Linked DNA regions of Arabidopsis thaliana. The protein of the gene in region 1 purifies or fractionates together with the protein of each later gene. This does not show direct contact. Each region holds a gene or a part of one and is shown in the gene's direction. Other genes may lie near its edges. The genes, in order: SGT1A and GME.

Region 1 (8,505 bases):
TCCCATATTTTGGATGGATAATGAATGTATCCCACAATCCAAGTTCACTAAGATAAACAAATAATACTTTCACATGCAGAAAAGATAAACAAACTTCATTTCCTAATTCGCATGTATAATTTGACAGAAATTGAATTGAACATTTACTAGTTACCCGTTTGGAAAATGAAATTGCAAACTTATTAGATGATGTAACGAACTAAATATATAACATATCATCGTAAATATTGTAAATATGTTCACTTTTATAGCTTGATTAATGGTAAAATGAAAATTTGATCTAAAGAAAAGGCAATCTTATCTAGATGTGAAAACGCAAAGTGTCGTTTTTCACGTGTGAGAATACTGATTGACTGGACTAGTACGTAGTAATATGGAGATGCCGTGCGGTTGAAATGTCTGTATAAAAACATTTCAGCACCCATTCCTTACAACGTCGTCAATGTTAGATTTTGCCGTTAGTTTTTATTTTATTTTGTTTTCAGTTGTCATAAACTTATTTCAGTTATCAGTTATTATAACTAATTGTTTTTTGTTCCTCTTTTCCTGCTAAGTGTAAACCTATTGCACAAATTTCTTGCATGCGTGTTCACCGTATATATGTTTTTAATTCCTCTTTCGTTATTGGGTTTTTAATGATGAAATAAAACGGAACTCAACTAGGGACAGTACAGTTCATGATCATATTGGATACATGTATTAGTTCATTTAATTTAATTCAATTATATACACAATAGTTTATTTAATTTCTCTCTAAATGATTGATGATGATTGACGTTATTTTCACGGTTTTGGTACCGTATAAGTTTAGTAAAGTGTCAAAACGACATTGTTTGTGAAACATATGGAGTATTTTTTCAAGAGTTAATTTGCCACTCTATCATATCGTTTCTAAAAATTGAAATCATTTCTAGTTTTAATCCTGGTTTAGCTGTAGTGATACTATTATGCTCCTCATTCTCACAATTTATTTCTACTTTGTTTCTTTACCTTCACAATTTCTGCCAAATGAGATCAATATAGACGTCTTCAACATCAAAGTTTTTGTTTATAAATACAAAATTTAAAATAATAATTTTGGTCAGAGTCGATGGTTATAAGGTGATGGGCGTGATGGCAAAGCATGTGACAAAGTTTTATGTCCACTATTCTCTTTTCGCCTAACGCAAATTCGTGTACGTTACAACTCCCTAATAATAATGCGTTAATTACTCTGCCAAGCTCATTTTCATTTATTACTTTACATGTTTTTTTTGTTTAAAGCATTGTCATATTTATTGTCATTATGAAACCCAAAATGAAAGGAGTTAATTAGAGATCATTGTTTTCATCTAGAGCAGAGCTCTGAAACTGGAACCAATTATTTGGAGTCTTGATGCAAATTCATGTAGCCTTGGAGCTCTGAAATTGTTCTTCTATATGTTTGCTGATCAAATTGTTAAAATAATGGTGAGACTGAGACTCATGGTTTAAATACTAGCAAAAATGGTAAATTTAAAATCCCCCTTAGCCACGGACCTTGAGCAAAGAGTCTAGTGTATGTGTCTATATATGGTTCACCTTTTGGATAAGAAATCAATTTCAAGCTCATCTTTCTACATAGAGAGAAACTTGGATCTTGTACTTTTTAAGATGGAAACATCCATAAAAAGGTAAAGATAAAGCTGATATGGCAAAACGCCAACAAAATCCTACAAGTAAATAAATCTTGGGCCAACTTTAATGTTCCTAAAAGAAATGAACTTAGCTACAAAGTTACTAGTCACGTCTCTGCTGCCAAAATTCTTGACACATTCTTTACACTTCTTCGAACAAAGAGAATGGTTTGATCCACAAAGGATGCAATGCGCACCGCTTCCACAACATTTGATCTGTGGCATAAATCAATCTTGCACCATAAGGGCTTGAAACTTTCAGCTTTTGCCACTAACACTCTAACGCAAACTTGTGTTAGACTGCAACCAAATGAAATATTTGAGAAGCACCAGATCCATTAACAGCAACTATGAGCCCATTACAATGATTTGCCTCCATCAGTGTCTTGGATCGCTAACACTATCCAATAACCAGCCTAGCTGGTACTTAGACAGAATTTTTTTTTCTTCTGGATCTGTGAAAATAAATGTAACATGAGCCATTGACTAAGATCTAGCTCTAATTAACTCAGTCAAAACGACGATCAAAAGATTGAACTATTGGAAATGGAAGGGGCCGCGCGAACGCAGGCCCCCAAGGCAACAAATAATGACGCAGGATCTCCCACTTGGGGTGACCTTTGGCTTAGCGCACCTCAAGTGCAGGAAGCCACCAGCCTAGGCCACGGATCTTCATGATCACCCGTAAACCCCGTCCAGGTAAGTAATTTGCAATCCTCGACCATCTTCTTTATTTATACTATGCTACACACGAGTGCCCATCCTCAAACTTCCGATGAGGGAGCATCAACATTATCTCGTATCTACTATAGGCAGGCTTTCGTTGTTTGATTAGCCCAAGTTTTATTTCTTGATAGGCCGCAATGTCTATATTCCGGTCCAAATCAAACCCAACAGATTTTTTTTTTGTCGGCTATTTGTCACAGATTTCTTTTTATATACGAGGAACAAGGTTAATTATATTGAACTAAACATTAAAAAAAAAAAAGAATTTTACAGATGCAGGTTGATATTTAACGTTATTGTGGGTCAACTCAACTCATAAGCAAAGTTGATATGATACTATTTAAATTGACTTCACCACATCCACTTGACACTAATAAATTGACTTCTCCATCCCTATCCACACATATTTGAATCTTCCAATAAGGTTCCACGAAACTGCTAGGAAAACAATATTTTCTAAGGCAATAGTCCCACTTTGGTTAATCATAAAATTGTCAAATCCACTATGTAATTTGTGATCCATAATAAATTAAACCAGTTATTCATCATCTAAGTCAGACACTATTTTAACTCTAGAAAACTTGACAAAGTACATGAAATGTTTTTGAAGTGAAGTAACAAAATTCCAACATGTACAAAATATATATTTTTTTTTTTAAACGAAAATATATACACTAGAGACCTCACCTATTTTTCTTAATAATATCAAATCTCACATATTTGATGTACACACAAAATTAAATTTATAGAAAATGAAATATATTATTTTAGAAAAATAAGGAGAAACTTTGTGGAAAAAATAGAAAAATATTTAAATTATTGTTTTTATAAATTTTATTTTGGGTTCGAACTCTTCAACTCCCTGAACACAAGTCGCATAAAACGAAGGAACAATCTAGAAGAAGAACGATAACATCCAATCTCTCTTTATATTCCTTCCTTCCATTGTGGCAATAAGTAACAAACCTTGCCCTCTACTTCATTCCCTCCTTGTTTTGATTTCATCGTCTTTGTTAGCTCTCCTCTGTTTTTTTTTCTTAGTCAATCGATGGCGAAGGAGCTTGCTGATAAGGCTAAAGAGGCTTTCGTAGACGATGACTTCGATGTTGCTGTTGACTTGTACTCCAAAGCCATTGACTTGGATCCTAATTGCGCTGAGTTCTTCGCTGATCGTGCTCAGGCCTATATCAAACTCGAAAGCTTCACTGGTAGCTTCTTTGTTCTGTTATCTTCGTCTTTTACTGTCGTGGACGCCTTCTGGGGTTCTGGGTTTTTGTATGTTTTCGGTTTCTTACTTCATCATAGCTGAAAGTTGTTGACTTTGCTGGATTATGTGTATTTAGGGTTTCGTTTTGTGTCCTGTCGCTTGATAGTGTCACAATTCTTTTCGAAAGTTTAAAGCTTTCGTATCAATTTGATACTAATGTGTCTCTCTTTTGCTGTTTGTGGAGGAACAATGTATCGGAATTGCTTTCATGAGAAACGAAATTTAGTTATTTGTTATCAGTAGCGAGTGCCCTTTACAAGTTATGCATTCAAACATTGGTTTAAGTTGGTTTTAGCTGTGCTAGTCTTTTGATTCTTTGATTGTGAATATGGAGAATTTTGTTTACAGATAGTGTTAAGTATTAACGGAGTATTGAAAGTTTCAATTTTTGCTTGAGTGATTAGTCTTTAGTTCAACTATTTCTTGCTTTAAGAAAGTATTCTCTGCATTTTTAGCGTAGTATCATAGAACTTTACTAGTTGGATAAGATTTTGGTCTCATTTGATTCTCAATGAGCAGAGGCCGTGGCAGATGCGAACAAAGCAATTGAGTTGGATCCTTCATTGACCAAAGCTTACCTAAGAAAAGGGTAACGTTTTGCTATTTCCTCCTATGTAACATTTTTAAGTCGTATATAAGTTGTAGTGAGAGTTTAATTTTCTCTGATTCCTTAGTCCTTAGATTGTTTTACTACCAGTTTATATGGTCTGCAAATGTGGTATATATCTGTCAAGCTATTACTTCCATTGTTCATGGTTTGGTTTTTGTATTTGTAGAACTGCCTGTATGAAGCTTGAAGAGTATCGGACTGCTAAAACAGCTCTTGAAAAGGGTGCCTCTATCACGCCGAGTGAATCCAAATTTAAGAAGTTGATAGATGAATGCAATTTTCTAATCACAGGTATGTTTTTTGTGTTTTTTTCTTGTTTTCTGGTTGATTATGTTTACATGCCTAGAGTGATTGTATTGTTTGCCATGGTGCAAAATATTTTGTTATGTAATTCACCTAAGGTTTTGATCTATGGAACTTGTAAATATCCTTTTTCCAGAAGAAGAGAAAGATTTGGTTCAACCGGTGCCTTCGACTTTGCCTTCAAGTGTGACAGCACCACCAGTATCTGAACTTGATGTCACCCCTACAGCCAAGTACAGGTAGTTTTATTGTAGAAAACAATACCAAAGTTTTTAAGAATCATTAAATATCTGATATTCTTGAGTGTTAACAGGCACGAGTACTACCAAAAGCCAGAGGAAGTTGTGGTAACTGTTTTTGCAAAAGGAATACCCAAGCAGAATGTTAACATCGACTTTGGTGAACAAATTGTGAGTATAAGGCTCTTAAGAACCCAACTCAATGGCACTTCTGTGTGCTTGTGTGTTAATGGTATTGTTTTGTGTTTTGAAGCTGAGTGTTGTGATTGAGGTTCCTGGAGAGGATGCGTATTATCTCCAACCGAGATTGTTTGGAAAGGTAATTTATCTGTTGAATGAATTAATGTTGGTTTTTCTTTCAACACTCTGAGCTGAACATGTTACATGACTTTGTTTTACGGTGTATATTCAGATAATACCAGATAAGTGCAAATATGAAGTATTGTCGACCAAAATTGAGATCTGTCTTGCAAAAGCCGATATAATCACATGGGCCTCCCTCGAACACGGCAAAGGGCCAGCGGTTTTGCCAAAGCCTAATGTCTCATCAGGTTTTCTACCTTTTCCTTCTTCAGTGTCATCTGATGAGCTTAAACAACAGTCTCTTGTAATGTAAATCTTATGTTGTATGTATGATGATGCAGAGGTTTCACAGAGGCCAGCTTATCCATCTTCTAAGAAAGTTAAGGACTGGGACAAGCTGGAAGCTGAAGTGAAGAAGCAGGTCCGTCTCTTACCATGTACTTAAAACCTCGACCAAACGGTTTTGTTTTTTCTCTTCTTTTGTTTGATTGTGGTTGACTTGCAGGAAAAAGATGAGAAGCTGGAAGGAGACGCAGCTTTGAACAAATTCTTCCGGGAGATATACCAGAATGCGGATGAGGATATGAGGCGAGCGATGAGCAAATCATTTGTGAGTATCTCTTTTCATGGAGTACTGTAAAAGTTTTGTCCTTTTGATCGACTCATTTATGGTTTTCGGGTTTTGAACAATGAGCAGGTGGAATCGAATGGGACAGTGCTGTCAACAAACTGGCAAGAGGTTGGGACTAAGACAATCGAGAGTACTCCTCCGGATGGCATGGAGCTCAAGAAATGGGAGATCTGATCTGATATGATATGATGATCCTTTCCTTTTTATGCAGTTGTGAATTTTGCCTAAATGTAGACAAATCTTGAAACCTGGTCCCTTTCTTCCTGTAATGAGGATCCTAAGGTTTTTGCTTTTTTGTTAAATATGGCTTTCTACCTCTGCTATGTTGTGACTTGTGAGTTATATTGTCTTTAGGTCTCAACTTTTTTGTTTTTGTTTTTATTTGAGTATTCATAATTTCATCATGATCACTATTCTTTAGTTTTTGTTAAAACTTACTTAATTAGTCTACAAAACCAAATATATCCCAAGTATGGAGTTAAAAGTCAAAGAATTGAGTTAACCTCTCGATCGAGTTGTAAATTGTCACTTTAGAGTCGTCTCGATCGAGTTGTAAATTGTCACTTTAGAGTCGTTTTAAACTTAAGTATGGAGAAAGTGATTTTTTATTAAAGAGTTATACAATATTTGTAATTATGAAAGGAACTACGTTACCGACTTGGTGTTGTCCAATGGTATATTTTCTAGGTAGAGATGTTGGATTCGACATCTTTAGAGATATGTTTTCTTTAAAAGAAATGAATTTAACTTGTTGTAGATCCTGCTTCTCGAACATATAGAGCCTTCGAACTTAAACTTCCATATATTCCAAAGAAATAAAAAACCCACGTTATTTGTGTAAAATTTTTACATCTCACAACCTTTATTTTCCGATAAAATTGTGATTTTTTAATATATATTGACATGGAATATTCTTTTGATTATGCAGGTGATCAGAGCATCGAGTCAATAATCCTTAATGTTCAATAATCCAATCAGCCGCACGTAATAGGAGAAGAAATCTATTTGTTTTTAAGGCCGCCTATGATCTATATATATGAACTACCCACACCTGTTTTAACTAACAAAATCTAAAGTTTTCTCAACTAGCCAAAAAAAACCCTAAAAGGCTCTGATCCAATTTCATCCGTCAAAAATCTTATAATAAATGAACTATCTTAGGTTGACCAACGTATCTTCTTTGATCACCTTGATAAGAGAAAGATTTGGTTCAATCGGTGCCTTCGGCTTTGCCTTCAAGTTCGACAGCACCACCAGTATCTGTTGATGTCACCCCTGCGACTGCAGCACCAGCTAAAGCCAAGTACATGTATTGTAGAAAACAATGCTAAGTTTTTAAGAATCATTAAATATATATCTCATATTCTTGAGTGTTAAACAGACACGAGTACTACCAAAAAGACAGAGGAAGTTGTGGTAACTGTTTTTGCAAATTCAGATTGTATAGTGAGATTAAGTAGCGAGGTTTTTTTGAAGTAAACGCCATTTGTTATCTCTCATGTGTATTTTTCCTTGTTTGATCTCTAATGTAACAAAGTTAATAATGAAAGCCAAAAAAACAAAGCCAATTTGGCTTCTTGAAAGATTTGGGTGAAGATTTCATTAGAATGTTACACCCACACTTAAATGAAAAACTTAACACTAAATATTGGAAGACATACTATGATGATACATATCCATATCAAGACTTTTTCAAAGTCTTTACATCGGTAAAACATGTAAATAGTGGAAAAAATTGAGGCAGTTAACATTTTTAGTTGAATGATGAATGATTTATCAAAGTGAGCCAGCTTTGCAACAAGAACTTGATAGTTACATGTTGCCAAATAAAATTGCAAAAAAAGAAGAAAAAAAAATCTAAGACAAACAGTTCGACAAGACTATCAAAAAGAAAATGATAAATATTGCATGGGTGGTTGACAAAATTCACCAAACCGTAGCAGTAAGAGCATGCACTAAACCCACATAACCGTTTGGCGTTTTGGATATAAACACATTGTCAAACCACTCAAGCGTTCCCCAAATTTCCCCATTTTGGTGTTTTTCAATCGCAATTTCCGCACACCAAATCTTTTTTTCCCTATCAACAAACATATACTCCTCCCAAGAAATCGCCATTTTTCCACCATGATCCGCCAATTTAACATTTGAATGAGAAGTAGGCAAACTAGGCAATCTTCCCAAGCCCTTCAAAATTGTCCATGCTCTATTCTTGAGGTCATACCAACGTATCTCCCCCTCACAGTAACGGTAGAACACGTTCTCTACCACACAATAAGATGATGATGACGACAGACTCCATCCATTATTCATACATATGTCTGCCTCTCTCCATTTACCTTTATGCATCTTGTAAGTCACATCTTTTTCATCAGACTTCACATAGACGGTTCCTTGATAACTTACGCTTAAGTACTCAGAGCCTTTGCATATCTCCTCGCTAGGGATCTGTAGAAACTCCCAAGTTTGAGTCTTCGTATCAAAAATCTCCATCCAGTTCATTGTATCGAGATTGTCGCAGCCTCCCGTAACATATATTCTCCCATCAAGAGTACAAGCAGATGGAAACACACGGCCCACCCGCATGCTTGGAGCTTCATGCCATGTGTGAGAACGAGAGTTCATAATCATAACGCTAGACAAAGCGTTATAAGTCTTTGATCCAGTGGCATATATCGAAACGTTTTTATTCTTTGATCCACCGCCAATGGCATATACATCAGGACCAACCACTACAACACCCGGCAGGGATGGGGAGGTAAAACTGGGAG
Region 2 (8,313 bases), on another chromosome or scaffold:
AAAAGGTTTACAAGGCATTTTAAAAGGGTTTTAAAAGATTTACAAGAGATTTTAAAGAGATTTTAAAGATTTACAAAGATCTTTTAAAGATTTTTAAAGGGTTTAAAATTTGTTTTAAAAGGATTTTAAAATATTTATAAGGGATTTTAAAAGGGTTTTACAATATTTACAATGGATGTTAAAGGGCTTTAAATGATTTACAAAGGATTTGTAAAGCTTTTTAAAGGGTTTAAAAGTGTTTTGAAAGATTTACAAGGGATTTTAAAACCTTTTAAAATTACTTGTAAATTTTTTAAAACCCTTTTAAAATCCCTTGTAAATCTTTAAAAACTCTTTTAAAATCTCTTGTAAATCTTGTAAAACCTTTTTAAAATCTCTTTTAAATCTTTCAAAACCCTTTTAAAATCCCATGTAAATCTATTTGCCGCCAAAAAATATTTACAAGGATTTTTAAAATCATTTTTTGGCTGAGGAAAAATCTGTTACGGAAAAAAAAATTGGCGGGAAATTGTTTTTTTGGCGGGAATTTTTTTTTATTTTTGGTGGGAAAAAAGTTTGGCGGAAACTTTTTTTTTGGCCGGAAAAACAAATTTTGGCGCCAAAAAATTGGCGGGAAAAGTTCAGTTTCCAATTACATGTTTCTATTAGATGATGGTAATTTGGTCATTTTATTCAAAGGAAAGGGTATTTTTAAAAATGGACAACATAAAAGGGTATTGTTGCAAAAGGGTAGTAAAAAAATAGTAGTTTTGCAAATCTCCCTAGTTTAAAACTAGGTAAATGAATTTTTGCATGAGTAATTTAGTAAATTAACAACTACTAAAATATAGAAATATCTTTAAAAATGCAAATATATTGTATGTTTAATTGAAAAATGCATATATGTAAACTAAATTATTTTCGTAAGATATTATTAGATATTTTCGAATATGGCAATCTAATAACAAATTATCATTTCGTTTAGATTTTAAAATCTTCCTTAACAAAACTATGCTAATTAAATCTCATTTGTATACATGACAAAAAAGATTTTTCAATTATGATTTTTCAGATATGAAAAAACATTTATTATATTTGTCGTATATAATCTAAACGAAATACTTCTATCATTTAAAATACAGCTTATTCAAAAACTTATTTTTTGGATTCTAAATATCTAGAAAATATTTCCAGGGTATATTAAAATATTTTAACATTTAATTAGAGTTTCAATGATATAAAGTTTTAGAATATATTTTTTTGTTTTTAAAAACGGGTAGTTTCATTATTTTAAATATATAATTAACCCAAATTTTTAATATATTTTTTAAAAAGAATTATAATAATTAATATATCTGATTGTTTTATTTAGAGCCAGATAAATTATTCAATTTCAAATCAAATAAATTATTTTATTTTGTATCAAATTGTTACAAGATTTTGGAATACACATTCTTCTAGAATTGATTATTTTCTTTTTGAAATAACATTAAAATAAATTTAAATACCAATGTTGTAATTTTAATGCAAATTTAAGGAACTATTGAATTTAGATCAAGATGACTAATTTAACTAATTACAAGCTATTTTTAAATTTACACAGTTTTTGCAATTAGTTCAAACTAATTCTCTAAATTTATTCACATTAAACTATCTCTTAGTTTTATGATATTGTTAAGATTTGTTTCTTGAAGTTAAGAAAGTTTATCAAATAAATTCAAATATATATATTTGATTAATTATATATTATATCAACAAGAGGATTTCTGGATTTGAGATAATATATCAAGTCGGTGTTTATTTATTTATATTAAATAGTAAATATAATTTTGTTTTCATATATGTGCACGTACACAAGAACAAATGTATGAGTATGACATATTATAGTTGATAGATCATTTATTTTTTCAATTTGTTTTCATGTTTTAATTTATGGTATGTTTACAAATTTTAACAAAGCATATGTTAATCCCCAAAAGTTACAGCTGTATCTGGTATTGTGTTTAAAGATAAGTAAAAATGAACTCGGAACATGATATTTAATGTAATATAACGAGAATAGGAATGACGAAAAAGGAACGACATAGAAGGAGCCAACACGGGATAAAAACATAGCTTTTAGATTACAACAAGTTACAATTTAAGCAAATTAACGTTTGCAATCAAATATGTAACATGTGTTTTCAATTTATACAGCATAAAAATGCTCAAAATAATAAATGTTATTATAGTATGCTTTATAATAGTTAAAATTTAAAAATAAACAAATGTAATTTAATATTTATGAACAAAATATTAAACAATAAGAAGAAAGAAGTCAATTAATTTTGTAATATTTTTATTATATCATATCATATAAAAATATACATGAATTATATTTGTGTTTGTCCCAAACAGGATATAGAGAATTTTTGCTTCCATCACGTTCTGTTTCTAATCGGAATACAAATTTTTTCTCATATTAGAAATGCATTCTCTTATGAGAAATAAATTGGAGAACGAGTAAGATATAATGGAACATGATAAAATTGAATGAGAATTACGCCTATCTCTAAATATTTATATTTCTCGCAAACGTATTTAATCATTTTAATGGTTTTATATACGGTTTGATAGTTTACAAGTTTAATAAAAATCTACCTGACCATTAACTCGAATCAGTTTGATCTCGGTTCGACCGTTTGATTGTTATGAACTTTAAAATACTACTAAAATCATTATTATTTCAAATATTTCAACCAACTAATATAGTTTAGGTTATATATATACTATAACTATATAAATAATTTTTAACATCAATCTAACTTATATTATATTTTAATTTAAGATTTTTTTTTCTAATTTACTCTTCAGTTTCAAACTCCAAAAATGGACTTATGGTTGCTCTTATGTCATAAACAAACATAAATAATATTTTATATTTTTATGTGTACATTATAATTATTCAATACAGTATATATCACTAAAATAACAAAATAATTATATATTTAATAAAAATTTATTACAACACATTTCTTAATATATGAAGATGTACTATTATTTGCAAATACAAAATATGTTAAATAGTGTTTTAGTTAATTAGAAAATAACAAAAATTAAAGTAATTTTTCTCAAAATAATAATTATTTAAAGATTAATTGCTTAATTATTTGAATTTTATAAGAATTTCCTTTTAATGTGTATTATATATATGTATGAATAAGACTAATTGAAAAATCTGTAATAATCTAGTAAAATTTGGACAATTATTTAAATGGATTAGAATCACAACATGACGGTTTCGTTAATAACACGCCAATATAAATATTTTATTAAAAAAACTTCTCAATTAATATATAGAATATACATATATTTATTATTTACAAATATTTTTATATATTGAAGCTAGAAAATAAAAAAATTATGAAATTGTTTGGTGCACCAATAAAGAAAATATTTAGTTTTTTTTTTTTTCTAAACTAAAACATTTCTTATTATCTATCTAAATACGATTCAACAAATAGTAAAAATAATATGCATAATATAAATCATCAAACCTAATAAAAAGTAATAAATCTTCTATAAAATCTCCTATTTTCTAAAAAACTCTCTACAAAAGAAGTATTAATTTTTTTTTTCGAAGGATTTTATTAGTTATAAAATAAATTTAACAGAAAGAGGCACAAATACCAATAGGAGTTGGAAAACTAAAACAACGAGTGGTGTTGCTCTCTCCATCTTCCTCTTCATCTTCTTCTGTTCTCTCTCTATAAATACAAGTTTACTCTTCCTCTTCCTCAAATCTCTGACTCTTCTCTGCATTATCTCTTCGATCTCTCCAACTCTCCAAAACCTTCCTCAGGTAAAAGATCCAATCTTCCTTACAATTCCACTAATCTAGGGTTTTAAAATCCCAGATTCCTGAATCAAAACTTCTCTGAGATCCGAATTTCGCAATTCTGTGTTTTTGGCTAATTTACGCCTCGCAATTTTGTGTTTTTCGCTAACTTACGCCGAATCCAATGCATCCTCTGTCAAAACTCTCTAAATCCCAAATCTTTTTACAGAAATTTATCACAAATTAGGATTCCACAGTGATTTCTAGCTTTCGCATGAGAGATCTTATTGTGTTTAACATATTTCTTTGCAATTTTGTGTGTTTTTGGCTAACTTAAGCGTCGCAATTTTGTGTGTTTTCACTAACTTACACCGAATCCAATGCATTCTCTGTCAAAACTCTCTAAATCCCAAATCTTTTTACAGAAATTAATCACAAATTAGGATTCTACAGTGATTTCTAGCTTTTGCATGAGAGATCTTATTGTGTTTAACAGATTTGTTTTGCAATTTTGTGTGTTTTTGGCTAACTTACGCCTCGCAGTTTTGTGTTTTTCGCTAACTTACGCCGGAATCCAATGCATCAATAATCTTACCTCTGTCAAAACTCTCTAAATCCCAAATCTTTTTTATAGAAATTTATCACAAATTAGGACTCTACAGTGATGTCTAGCTTTTGCATGAGAGATCTTATTGTTTTTAACAGATTTGTTTTGTTAATGTAGAATGGGAACTACCAATGGAACAGACTATGGAGCATACACATACAAGGAGCTAGAAAGAGAGCAATATTGGCCATCTGAGAATCTCAAGATATCAATAACAGGAGCTGGAGGTTTCATTGCATCTCACATTGCTCGTCGTTTGAAGCACGAAGGTCATTACGTGATTGCTTCTGACTGGAAAAAGAATGAACACATGACTGAAGACATGTTCTGTGATGAGTTCCATCTTGTTGATCTTAGGGTTATGGAGAATTGTCTCAAAGTTACTGAAGGAGTTGATCATGTTTTTAACTTAGCTGCTGATATGGGTGGTATGGGTTTTATCCAGAGTAATCACTCTGTGATTATGTATAATAATACTATGATTAGTTTCAATATGATTGAGGCTGCTAGGATCAATGGGATTAAGAGGTTAGTTAGATTTTGTTTTCTTCGGTTTTCGCAGTTTACGGTTTCTTAAAACAAGTTAAAAAGATTGGATTTTTTGTTTGCTTTAGGTTCTTTTATGCTTCGAGTGCTTGTATCTATCCAGAGTTTAAGCAGTTGGAGACTACTAATGTGAGCTTGAAGGAGTCAGATGCTTGGCCTGCAGAGGTTTGTGATTATTTTTTATATGTTCTTGCTAAAGATTTATGAGTCTTTTCTTATGTGATGTTTTGATGCTGATATAGCCTCAAGATGCTTATGGTTTGGAGAAGCTTGCTACGGAGGAGTTGTGTAAGCATTACAACAAAGATTTTGGTATTGAGTGTCGAATTGGAAGGTTCCATAACATTTATGGTCCTTTTGGAACATGGAAAGGTAGTATACAGATAAACAGTTTCCGTACTTTGTGTGAATGATTAGTTGTTTACTATTGGGATTAATATTTGCTTGGATCAACTTAGGTGGAAGGGAGAAGGCTCCAGCTGCTTTCTGTAGGAAGGCTCAGACTTCCACTGATAGGTTTGAGATGTGGGGAGATGGGCTTCAGACCCGTTCTTTTACCTTTATCGATGAGTGTGTTGAAGGTGTACTCAGGTGAGGGTATCTCCTGATGTTGATGAAGTTGTATGTTAGACGTAATTGGCTGATATTTTCGTCATTTTTGTTTTATAGGTTGACAAAATCAGATTTCCGTGAGCCGGTGAACATCGGAAGCGATGAGATGGTGAGCATGAATGAGATGGCTGAGATGGTTCTCAGCTTTGAGGAAAAGAAGCTTCCAATTCACCACATTCCTGGCCCGGAAGGTGTTCGTGGTCGTAACTCAGACAACAATCTGATCAAAGAAAAGCTTGGTTGGGCTCCTAATATGAGATTGAAGGTACCAACATTATTTACTTAAGTAGCTCAAAGACAAGATAATAATCTAATTCTTTTATTACTGATATTGTTTTGACCATAATCGTTAAACAGGAGGGGCTTAGAATAACCTACTTCTGGATAAAGGAACAGATCGAGAAAGAGAAAGCAAAGGGAAGCGATGTGTCGCTTTACGGGTCATCAAAGGTGGTTGGAACTCAAGCACCGGTTCAGCTAGGCTCACTCCGCGCGGCTGATGGAAAAGAGTGAAGTTCACCAAAGTATAAGTCAAGCTCAAATATGGCCTTTTAAGTTCAGCAAAATGTTTAGATATATTTTTAGGTAGCTTCCTATTAAAAAAGCAATAATAAGTGTTTTGGATTTTGGTTCCTTCTATTCTGCTAATCCTTGTTTATGTTTAGTTGAAAAAGTTTGCTTGCATTGTTAAGTCTGTTATCATATTATTGTGGTCCTTTCATTCACAGTATGTATGTTTATCATCATAGTCAAGTTGATGTCGTGGTCCTCTCACGGACCAGTACAAGTAAGTGGCTTGTGTTTTTTCTTGCATCTTATCATCTATTCACACATCTCTAGAGGTTAGGGATCACTCACGGTGACTCACCATTCTTTCTCTTCCATCCACTTCTTTATCCCATTCCTCGGTCAAAAATGTCACACGTAATAAATCATAAGGTTTTAAGTTTATATATTGCTTTTTTTATGCAACTCTCCCGATCAGCAAAATATCTAAAATTTGAGATTTTTATCCATGTTCTAAGATTTGGTCTTAGACTCGAGATGATCCGAAAAATAACGTATTTACTATTTTAAATTTTGAATATACATTTTATCAAAAAACAAATATGAGATAAGGACGATATTATTATAACATAACATATAATGTTTTTTTATTATTTTAAATAATATCAAAGGAAATAAAGCTTAAACTTAATCCAAAACTAAGAAAAAAACCACTAAATCAAAAGGAAAAGCATAGTAAAATCTCAAAACAATTAAGCAACTTTCGGCTCAATTGTTAGCTTCTTTGAATATATATGTTATCAGTGTTTTTTCAAAAATCTTTGACGTTAGCATCATACTACAAATATTCATTTATGCATCTAAAATAAGACAATCGATATATTTCAAATCATCAACTCAACAATCACCCAATTTTTTGTTGTGGTTTTGCTCTTGCTCTCACTCTTCTTCGTGTCGCTTCTCAAATGAGCCCAAATCACCTTTTATATCATATGCAAAAGCAAATGAAGCATTTAACTCAACCCAAATTTAACTTGGGTTAACTAAAATTTGATCATCAAGTTCATCTTCACACTTCCCTAAAAGCCTAAACTATATTGATCATCAAGTTCATCATCTTTGTCCGATTTCTCCAGATTTTTAGAGATGAATTAGTTTCCACCAACACCTCACTTTACTCTCCTTTATTGGGCTAAGTTAGATTATATGGGCTTTGTGAGTTTGTATATTAACATGTATAGTCGGTTAGGTTTATCTCGACAATCTCCTCTCTATATATACTTTGTACACATGTTTATGATCAATAAGAAGAATATATTCTCTAAATCTACATCCTTCCACAACACTCTCAGACATCTCTCTTTTGGACAAGATTTTGCGACATTGACGATAACCATATTTCTTTCCTCATAGGTTAGCCCACACTTGCCCGAGCACTTATTGTGCATCCACTACCTAATCAGTTTATGTTGAATCACACCAACGGACCTAACTTTCTCATTTTGGCAAGCCGCACAAACAATGGAAAACATATATTAAATTAATCTCTCAATATTCTTTAAAACAAAAAAAAATGAATTCAACAACCCACCAAAAATGAAAGGAAATAATATCTCTAAGTCATTTGTCTTTTATTCTTTCACAGCCTAATTTCTCTTCTAATATCCTGAAAACATTAATTTGTTGAAAGAAGAAGATTTAATTCAATATGTTTTACCTAAAATTTTGAACTAACTAAAACACATGATTTTTTCTACAGCAATTGGCAGAATTAATGAGAAACGCTTTGTGGCGCTATCAAATAGGCCAGATTAGGGATCAATTTAAACATCTTATGTTTTGGGGCTTTGTTGCTACTGACATTGCAAGTTGGATGAGATTTCTTGGTGGGTTGGAGGATCTCTATTGTCCTTTTTCCATTTGGGATATTTATAGGTAAAGCAGAGCATCCACATGTCTGCTTTGCCTCCAACACTATCGCCGCATTACGATTCATCCAAAATTATGAGATCCATAGAAAGCATTCAAATAAATATGTCTCATTTTTGTGCCAAGAACAATTTCCATCAATCTTTGGTCTTCCTCGAGTTGATGTAGGTGTAAGGGATGTTTTAAGTTTTTGTACCCTAGAGGAGGCATTGGGTCATATTCATGTCTACTCAATAGTTGCTGATTACATCGTTTTCCAGTGTTTTAGTTACCTAAAAAAATGAACAACTCTGAAACTATACACCTATGAATCCAC

Evidence for each region.
Region 2: the proteins of SGT1A (region 1) and GME fractionate together in Arabidopsis thaliana (co-fractionation; one large-scale study listed by BioGRID). This does not show direct contact.

The regions. Positions count from the first base shown.
Region 1 is NC_003075.7:12,296,586-12,305,090, forward strand, and holds SGT1A (phosphatase-like protein), read left to right. Parts: upstream 1-3,292; 5' UTR 3,293-3,429; coding exon 3,430-3,589; intron 3,590-4,164; coding exon 4,165-4,237; intron 4,238-4,424; coding exon 4,425-4,549; intron 4,550-4,697; coding exon 4,698-4,800; intron 4,801-4,874; coding exon 4,875-4,971; intron 4,972-5,053; coding exon 5,054-5,119; intron 5,120-5,212; coding exon 5,213-5,351; intron 5,352-5,444; coding exon 5,445-5,524; intron 5,525-5,608; coding exon 5,609-5,713; intron 5,714-5,800; coding exon 5,801-5,908; 3' UTR 5,909-6,134; downstream 6,135-8,505. Other genes in the region: AT4G23580 (Galactose oxidase/kelch repeat superfamily protein), read right to left, coding at 7,661-8,505. UniProt on the Arabidopsis thaliana protein: Functions in R gene-mediated resistance, but participates in a lower extent than SGT1B to RPP5-mediated resistance. Not required for RPM1, RPS2, RPS4 and RPS5-mediated resistance.
Region 2 is NC_003076.8:10,860,233-10,868,545, reverse strand, and holds GME (GDP-D-mannose 3',5'-epimerase), read left to right. Parts: upstream 1-3,599; 5' UTR 3,600-3,820; intron 3,821-4,501; exon of another isoform or gene 4,502-4,520; 5' UTR 4,521-4,521; coding exon 4,522-4,931; intron 4,932-5,017; coding exon 5,018-5,114; intron 5,115-5,191; coding exon 5,192-5,321; intron 5,322-5,407; coding exon 5,408-5,540; intron 5,541-5,618; coding exon 5,619-5,826; intron 5,827-5,918; coding exon 5,919-6,074; 3' UTR 6,075-6,530; downstream 6,531-8,313. UniProt on the Arabidopsis thaliana protein: Catalyzes a reversible epimerization of GDP-D-mannose that precedes the committed step in the biosynthesis of vitamin C (L-ascorbate), resulting in the hydrolysis of the highly energetic glycosyl-pyrophosphoryl linkage.